2 linked regions of the Bombyx mori genome follow. The protein of the gene in region 1 interacts with the protein of each later gene in a pairwise test. Links are inferred from orthologs where the notes say so. Each region holds a gene or a part of one and is shown on either strand. Other genes may lie near its edges.

What was found.
Region 2: the proteins of proteasome beta-subunit (region 1) and trafficking protein particle complex subunit 13 interact in a two-hybrid assay, tested with the Caenorhabditis elegans proteins (3 studies listed by BioGRID). The link is inferred for Bombyx mori from reciprocal best matches to the Caenorhabditis elegans genes pas-4 and C56C10.7.

What each region holds. Positions count from the first base shown.
Region 1 is NC_085110.1:13,656,909-13,660,456, reverse strand, and holds proteasome beta-subunit, read right to left. Parts: upstream 2,100-3,548; 5' UTR 2,023-2,099; coding exon 1,921-2,022; intron 1,843-1,920; coding exon 1,372-1,842; intron 1,164-1,371; coding exon 987-1,163; 3' UTR 922-986; coding exon of another isoform or gene 775-921; 3' UTR 712-774; downstream 1-711. Other genes in the region: uncharacterized protein LOC101743699, read left to right, coding at 30-309, 775-921. UniProt on the Caenorhabditis elegans protein: The proteasome is a multicatalytic proteinase complex which is characterized by its ability to cleave peptides with Arg, Phe, Tyr, Leu, and Glu adjacent to the leaving group at neutral or slightly basic pH.
Region 2 is NC_085114.1:9,433,753-9,438,263, forward strand, and holds the start of trafficking protein particle complex subunit 13, read left to right. Parts: upstream 1-1,401; 5' UTR 1,402-1,922; intron 1,923-2,004; 5' UTR 2,005-2,173; coding exon 2,174-3,379; 3' UTR 3,380-4,511. Other genes in the region: uncharacterized protein LOC119628828, read right to left, coding at 451-459, 702-1,151.

The sequences.
Region 1 (3,548 bases):
TTATTAATAGTTTAGAACTAAAATTTCAGAAGTACGTCATCAAATGAAAGTTTTATGAATTTCAATGAAGACTCTTCTCAGAATGCAAATGATAATTTCTGTGGTCAGTTCTTGAGCATGCCAGAACTTGATCCAGAACCACTTCAAGAAAGGTCTAAGGCAAAAATATCTCCAGAGTTTTATTTTGAAAACAATAAGAAAGAAATTACTGTTAAAAGCTTGAATAGAATGGATAGTGAACAAAATTCACTAAATTGTGTTCTGCCCTCAGTTAGCAATGATCAAAATGATGATATTATCATTAATGAGGTATGTATTAACAGCTTTTCTTACTGAATCATACGAAAATTGCATATCAGTCACACTAGTTACTGCTAGTATTCTGTTAGAACTTCAAACCAGTATCTAGCAAGGCTCCACAGTATTAGAAAGAAATTAGAAGGAAAATCTCACTACAGCAGTCAATATCCAATATATTACTGAACCAGAAAAGTACTAATGGTAAACCACCTCTAATTTGTAGGCTGAATTGATCATGTGATGTTTCTGCTGTGAGAACAATAGATAATAGCTGTTACAGTTATTTCTGTCATATAGTTACAAGATTTCAAGTAAAACTGATTTACCCCTTCATATCACAAATGTATGCATTATGATGATGTATTATATGAGGAATGGACACACATTTTAAATTATAAAAATAAATCAACCTTTATGACGGTAACATGCTGTTTATGTAATCAATAATTATAAAAAATAATTTTTCATTTTCAGAGTAATCAACAGAGTCATTACAATGGAGAATGGGACCAGATGCTAAATGATTTTATAGTTAACAAAGGCTCCAGTCAAGAATGCAGTTCAGAACTAAAAGATATTTATTGTCAGATTTCAAAAACTATAGACTTGTTGAATTCTTAAGGAAAATTCAAATATTAAGAATTCCTTATGCCATTTATTTTAATAAAAAAGTTACAATTTTTAAATTACTTCTTCTGTTTCTTCTTCTCTGCTTCCTCTTCTTTCTCTTTTTCAATGACAGATACATAGGAGTTTATAGTGTCTAAGTCAAGCATCTGCATTGGTTGACCTCTTCTCATTACAGCAATTTCTAGGTTCTTTTGGCCAGACTGTACTACTTCCAAGAGTGCTCTGATAGCCAACTGTAATTTAAAAATTAGAGGATATATTAATAATATAATTATTTAATTGTGGGTGTTATGTATGAAACAGAAAATAATGTAACAGCATCTAAATTAGTAATTTAGATTAATAAGTATTCATATTTTAACATTTTATTGTTGAAGTGTCATTGCATTTCAAATTTAAGTTAATATTCAATTGTATTTTTTACTTTCTAAAGAAAATTACCTTGACAGCTCCATTCTCTGTAGCAACTTCATCAGCGGTGTAATTTTTCTCTAGAAACTCTCGTACTGTCTTTGCAGATCTACCAGTTGCATTAGCTTTCCATTCATAATATATACCAGAAGGTTCAGTTTGGAACAAGTGTGGTGAACCATCATAGTCGAATCCTCCTATCAAACACGAAATACCAAATGGTCGACGACCATTGCTCTGAGTATATTTCTGTTTGAGACCTGCTATGTATCTTGTAATATACTCCAATGTTACTGGATCCTCGACTGTTAACTTGTGTGATTGACATTCGATTTGTGCACGGTTTATTAATATACGAGCGTCTGCTGTCAATCCGGCAAATGCCATTACGACGTGATCATCCAAAAGACATATTTTCCTCACAGTTCGTTCTTCTTGCAATTTAGCAACCGATTTTTTCTCAACACCTAAGACTACCACATCGACTCCTCTAACTCCAACCTGAGAATCGAGATAGATTCAGAATTTGAAAATCCCTTACTCATCGTCAATAAACATAACCAAATTAATTGTACTTACTGCTGTTGACCCCTTTCTGACAGCTTCTTGAGCATATTCTACTTGTAATAAATGTCCATCAGGAGAAAATACTGTGATGGCTCTATCATATCGGGCAGACATGGTTAAAAATTGTTAATAATTTATGCAGTAAGAAGTAATAGGTACAATGAATTAGAAACAAACTTCAAACTCGGCTTTCGTTCACAGAATATATATGAATGATTTTATGATTTACATGACAGCATTGACAGCACAGAGAATGTACATGAAATAAGCGTATAAACATCAAATTAATAAAAAGTAAGCCTTAATAGTATTAATTAACTAACTAACTTCGCAAAGTGTATCGCCTCCAGTGGATATGTAATTCTCGTATTTTGTAAAATTAAGACGTTAACTTGCCAAGAAAATAGTATTTAGTTGTGCAGATGTTGTAGTCCTAGGGTGCCCCGCTGAATAGGACCTTCACAAGTTGTCTCCACTTGACCCTGTCTTGTGCTTGCTCCTTGACATCACTCCATGTGGTCATGGTCATGCCAGCAGCCAGCTTTTTACTGGTGATAGGACCTCTTTTGAGTCCGCGCGAGTAGTTACCACCACCCTGCCTGTATCTGCCGTGAAACAGTAATGCGTTTCGATTTGAAGGATGAGGCAGCCGTTGTAACTATACTTGAGAACTGTATACCTTGGAACTTATATCTATACGTGGATGGTGCATTTACGTTGTAGATGTCTATGGGCTCCAGTAACCACTTAACACAGGTGGGCTATGAGCTCGTCCATCCATCTAAGCTATAAAAAAAGTCCTCTCGCTCTCCACGGTGTGTCGCCAAGTGTGGACAGGGTGACCAGGTCTTCTCTGTCACGCGGTTTCCACTCAAACTCCGCTGCGCCGTAGAGTGTGTCCCAGTCCCATTTCCGATTAGTAATGTCTTGCGCGTTGGCGATTTGGTCACATTTAGTCCAGAGGTCTTTATTAACCATAAACCTGGAGAGTGACCAAGACACTCACGAACCAATTGTTAGTGTTTTTATTTAAGTGCTTGAGGTCGATACTCCGCATATTCTGGCCAGGTTTTATCTTTATTAATGTTGTACATATAGTAGCGCTTAATCCACATGAACATGATCGTCTTGTCTATTTAGTCTGACATAAACCATAACGCAAAATATTCAATATTTTGAACTATACCGAAGGACTGAATATGAAATAAAATTTGCGGTCACTTAAGAGGAAGCCAAGGTAAAGGAAGACTTTTAAGCAACTGGCCCACACCAGACTCAAGAAGCACAGACATTTACTTGTGATAGGACCTATGTTATTTCGCACGGGTAGGTACCACCACCCGGCCTATTTCTGCCGTGAAGCAGTAATGCGTTTCGGCTTGAAGGATGGGGCAAGCGTTGTAACTATACTGAGACCTTAGAACTTTTATCTCAAGGTGGGTGGCGCATTTACGTTATAAATGTTTATGGGCTCCAGTAAGCACTTTTCACCAGGTGGGCTGTGAGCTCGTCCACCCATCAAAGCAATAAAAAAAAATTTAATGACTTTAAAAGTATTTACATAGAGCCTTATATTTTAGGTAAATTGATACTTAATTTTTTTATGCCCGCCTATTACTAATTACCTCGAGGGATTATGC
Region 2 (4,511 bases), on another chromosome or scaffold:
AATGAATTAATCTGAGCAATAAAAATAAAGATGTCTAGTAAGAGGGGCCCAATTAATGGTGATCATTTGTTTAATTTTTTTTTTTTTTTTTTTTTTTTTTTTTTTTTTTTTTTTTTTTTTTTTTTTTTTTTTATGGCTCGAGTCTCTTCTTTTACGAATTACTCTGCCAATGTCAGGTAGATAGAATATCAATGATATAGATAGATATAGATTGTAGCAGATGAGATGAATGAGAACTGGAGAAAAATTTGTAAATATTTTTACAGTTCAATGTTATTGCGGGAAATAAAATAAGCTAATGCATTTACAACTTTAGGATTAGGGAATGTTAAGAGATAGTTCATATTAACTGGGAACGGGATGTTAGTGTTAGTTAGTAAACAATATAGTGGTGGGCATTCAACATTAAGAGCGCATTCCAGAAATATATGATCTAAAGTACCGATAGATTTACCGCAACTACACATAGGAGAAGGTTTAATTTTTAGCTTAAATAAAAATTGTGGTGAGCAAAAGTGACCCAATCGAAGCCTGATAAGTACACTAGTTATTTGCTTGTTGAATTTTTTGAACTTATAAAACCAAGGTTTGATAAACACACTAGGATTTATTTTAGAATATTGATATTTGTAGGTTTCCCATTGCTTTTGCCAGTCTGATACGAGATTAAGTTTAATATTATGAATAAGATCACGACTTACATTCGCGTAGTACTCACAATCACCACTATGTGTTGCTTCTTTAGCCATTTGATCCACAGTTTCATTCCCAAGAATTCCTGTATGTGAAGGGATCCAAACTATTTCAACTTTGATGTTGTTTTGATGACAGGTGAACAACAGGTTTTTGATTATACAAACTAGCGGATTTTCTAAACAATTCTTTATCGGATTCTTTGAAATGGCTTGAATAGCACTAGAACAATCACTGAATATCGCGGAGTAGTTAATTGAGTGCTGCATGATGAACTTTAGACAACTTATCAATGCAATACACTCGCCCGTGAATACTGAGGTTTCTGGGGGTAGTTTGTGCAATTTGTAATGATTTGCGTTTGGGTGATAGAAGGCAGCACCAGTGTTACCATTTGAAACTAATTTCGAGGCATCGGTGAAAAATAAATTCCACCGTGGCCATTTTTCTTCTACCATGTTTAAAAATTTTAAGTTGGCGTTTTTTGTATTTTTTTCTAAACCTATGTTTAGATAAACTGTGGGGGAAATTGTTTAATTAATTAATTATAAATAAAAGATTTGTTAATTAATTAATTATAAATAAAAGACGTACAAACAATTTTTACATTCGAACATTAACGAACAAACGACGAACAAATAATAAAAAATAATAAAATCCGAAAATTAAAAAAAAGGGGCCAAATTTACAGAGCCCTACTAACTCTGTGTCGAACAAATGTCAGGACTTTTTGGCGGGAACGCGAGGATTAAAGTTGTGTGATTTGTTTTATTATGTCTTTTTAGTGTTTCTTCGGGTTTAAATGTGTAACAGCGGTGGTTAACTTAACTGTTTAATATCTGTGAAAGTGCACAAATATGGGAAAATGAATCAAAGCCGCCGGACGTGACTTCGCGGAAACCTCCAAAAAGTCCACTTAATAAATCTCAGTAAATGACCACCTTTTTACTGAGATTATATTTCATCCCATATTATCTCTTTTCATTTCATACCATGTTTCATATTAATTAACTTCATTTCATAATATCATATTCCATGTTAAAAAATAATATAAAAGATTAGGCCTTGTGGTATTATATCTTAGTTTTTCTATTTAGAAAAATAAAACTACTACTTCGAAAGTACGAACAAATGTCAGTTAATGTCACATCACAATCACAATTTCACTTTCACGCAATACACAAGCAAATAATATTATTCTAAACGAATATTCAGTAATAAAGCCCTTGGTATTAAACTTGTAGTATAATTATTGATTCTAAAATTTTGAGTCTCTCGCACACCGGATAATAAATATGTTTTAATTTGCAGTTTACGTAAAATAGGTGCTCACTCATATGCAGTACGTATTATACATCAAACAATTGAATAATAAAGTGTATATATTAAATAATAATTAGAAACAGATTCACATACATTTCAAAAATTCCAAAATTCCGTTCGTAATAAAACTTACGATACAGAATTAGAAGTCAGAATTATGGATCCAAAAGAAGCGGTTGAACATTTAGTTGCTCTGAAGGTGATGAGACTTACAAAGCCAGCATTGATAAGCCCTAATATCGTCACTTGTGACTCAAAAGATTTGCCAGGTAATATTCTCAATAATTATCTAAAAGATGATGCCACAGCAGTCAGTCAAATGGAAACTCTTGCTGCTGGACAATTCTTACTACTTCCTCAAAGTTTTGGAAATATTTATTTAGGGGAAACATTCTCTTGTTATGTTTGTGTTCACAATGAAACGAATCAACCTGTACAAAGTGTCTCCATAATAACTAGTCTACAAACTAATTCACAAAGAATAGAGCTTACAGCACAGGAGGGAACTACCCCTACTATGTTGGATGTTGATGAAACCCTTAGTGATGTTATTCACCATGAGGTCAAAGATTTAGGAACACATATATTAGTATGTGAAGTTTCGTACATGTCCAACTACAATACGTTAGCATCGTTCCGGAAATTCTTCAAATTTGAAGTCATGAAACCACTAGATGTGAAAACTAAATTTTATAATGCTGAATCAGGGGATATTTATCTTGAAGCACAAGTTCACAACATAACATCTGGGCCCATTATATTTGAGCAAGTATCTTTGGAAAGTTCTCAGCAATTCACTGTAAGTTCTTTGAATGAAGTGAATGGTGAGTCAGTGTTTGGTGAAGTGACATTATTACAGCCACAAGAGAGCTGTCAGTTCTTGTACTGGCTTAAACCAAAGGAAAACATGGCAAAAGAAGTCAAACCACATGGCCCTATGAGAAATATTGGAAAACTAGATATAGTCTGGAGGTCTAACTTAGGTGAGAAAGGCCGATTACAGACTAGTCAGTTGGAAGCCATGGCACTCGATCATGACGACTTAAGACTGACAGTTGAACAAATTCCTAGTAAAGTATGTGCAGATGAAGCTTTCACATTTAAATGTAAAGTTGTGAATGCCAGTGAAAGAACTTTAGATCTCATATTAAAACTGCGTTCTCCGCAAGACTCTAGTCTCCTATGGTGCGGAATTTCTAACAGAAAATTAGGGCCTCTAGAACCCGGAAAGACAACATTCATAAATTTAACTGCTTTACCAATCAACACAGGCTTACAGAAAGTGACTGGTGTGTCACTTGTTGATTTGTTTTTAAAACGCACTTATGATTATGATCATTTAGCTTCAGTTTATGTATATTAAAGATTTATTGCAATTACATGTATTTTACTTTAATTATTAAATTTTTACTGATTGAGAAACTGAACTGTACTAAGAACACGCAAACCAGAACATATTCTGTACTATTTTTGTAATTTTGTTTTATATCATTTTAGATTTTGTGTGTTGGTTGATATATACATAATGTGGATCCTTTTTAAAACTATTTCATTAGATAGTGGTTCAGTTTTAATATGCATAGTAATTAGTACAAGTATTCAACCTCATTTCTTGTAACATGTGGTGGCCTTGGATTTTGATGATCTTTTCAAATATGTAGTATTGTTTTTTCATTATTGCTTTAAATAGGCTGATGATCTCATGGACTCTACGAACCAAAATGCCACACCCAACTTCAGACATAAGATTGAAGTCTCGAGACACAATCCCACCCTACAAAATATGCAAAACACCTCTATATGTAGGCTTATGGGCCTATACTTTGGTTCTTAAAAAAAAAAAGTGTGAACTCGCCAAATTTGTTGCATTTCTAGTAAAGCATGAATCCAATATAGCCTAATGGTTTAATGGATTAATGGACCCAATACATCTTCGCGAGGTCGAACCAGTTTACGTAGCTCCATCGTGGCCACCGAAACGGTCAAGCGCGTCAGGTGGCTGGCTGCTCAAATAAACCTTTTTTCTTAAAAAAAAATTTATTCCTTAGATGGGTGGACGAGCTCACAGCCCACCTGGTGTTAAGTGGTTACTGAAGCCCATAGACATTTACAACGTAAATGCTCCACCCACCTTGAGATATAAGTTCTAAAGTCTCAAGTATAGTTACAACGGCTGCCCCACCCTTCAAACCGAAACGCATTACTGCTTCACGGCAGAAATATCCAGGGTGGTGGTGCCTACCCGCGCCGACTCCCAAGAGGTCCTACCACCACTTGGCGGCCGGTCGCTAAAAGAAGACGCTTAAGCGGCCAACCGCTAGTGAGTAACGATCCTTGCAATACGACCTACCTATAGTGGGTACACCAGAAAATGCAATAACAAGGTGCAGTAATAGAATTCAGAAAAGACTGCTGTTTATTCTCGAGTGAATCGGAAGAAAATAAGGTGCTATTCTATCTATTTTTTGTAACCAATCTGAAACAATTCTGATGCA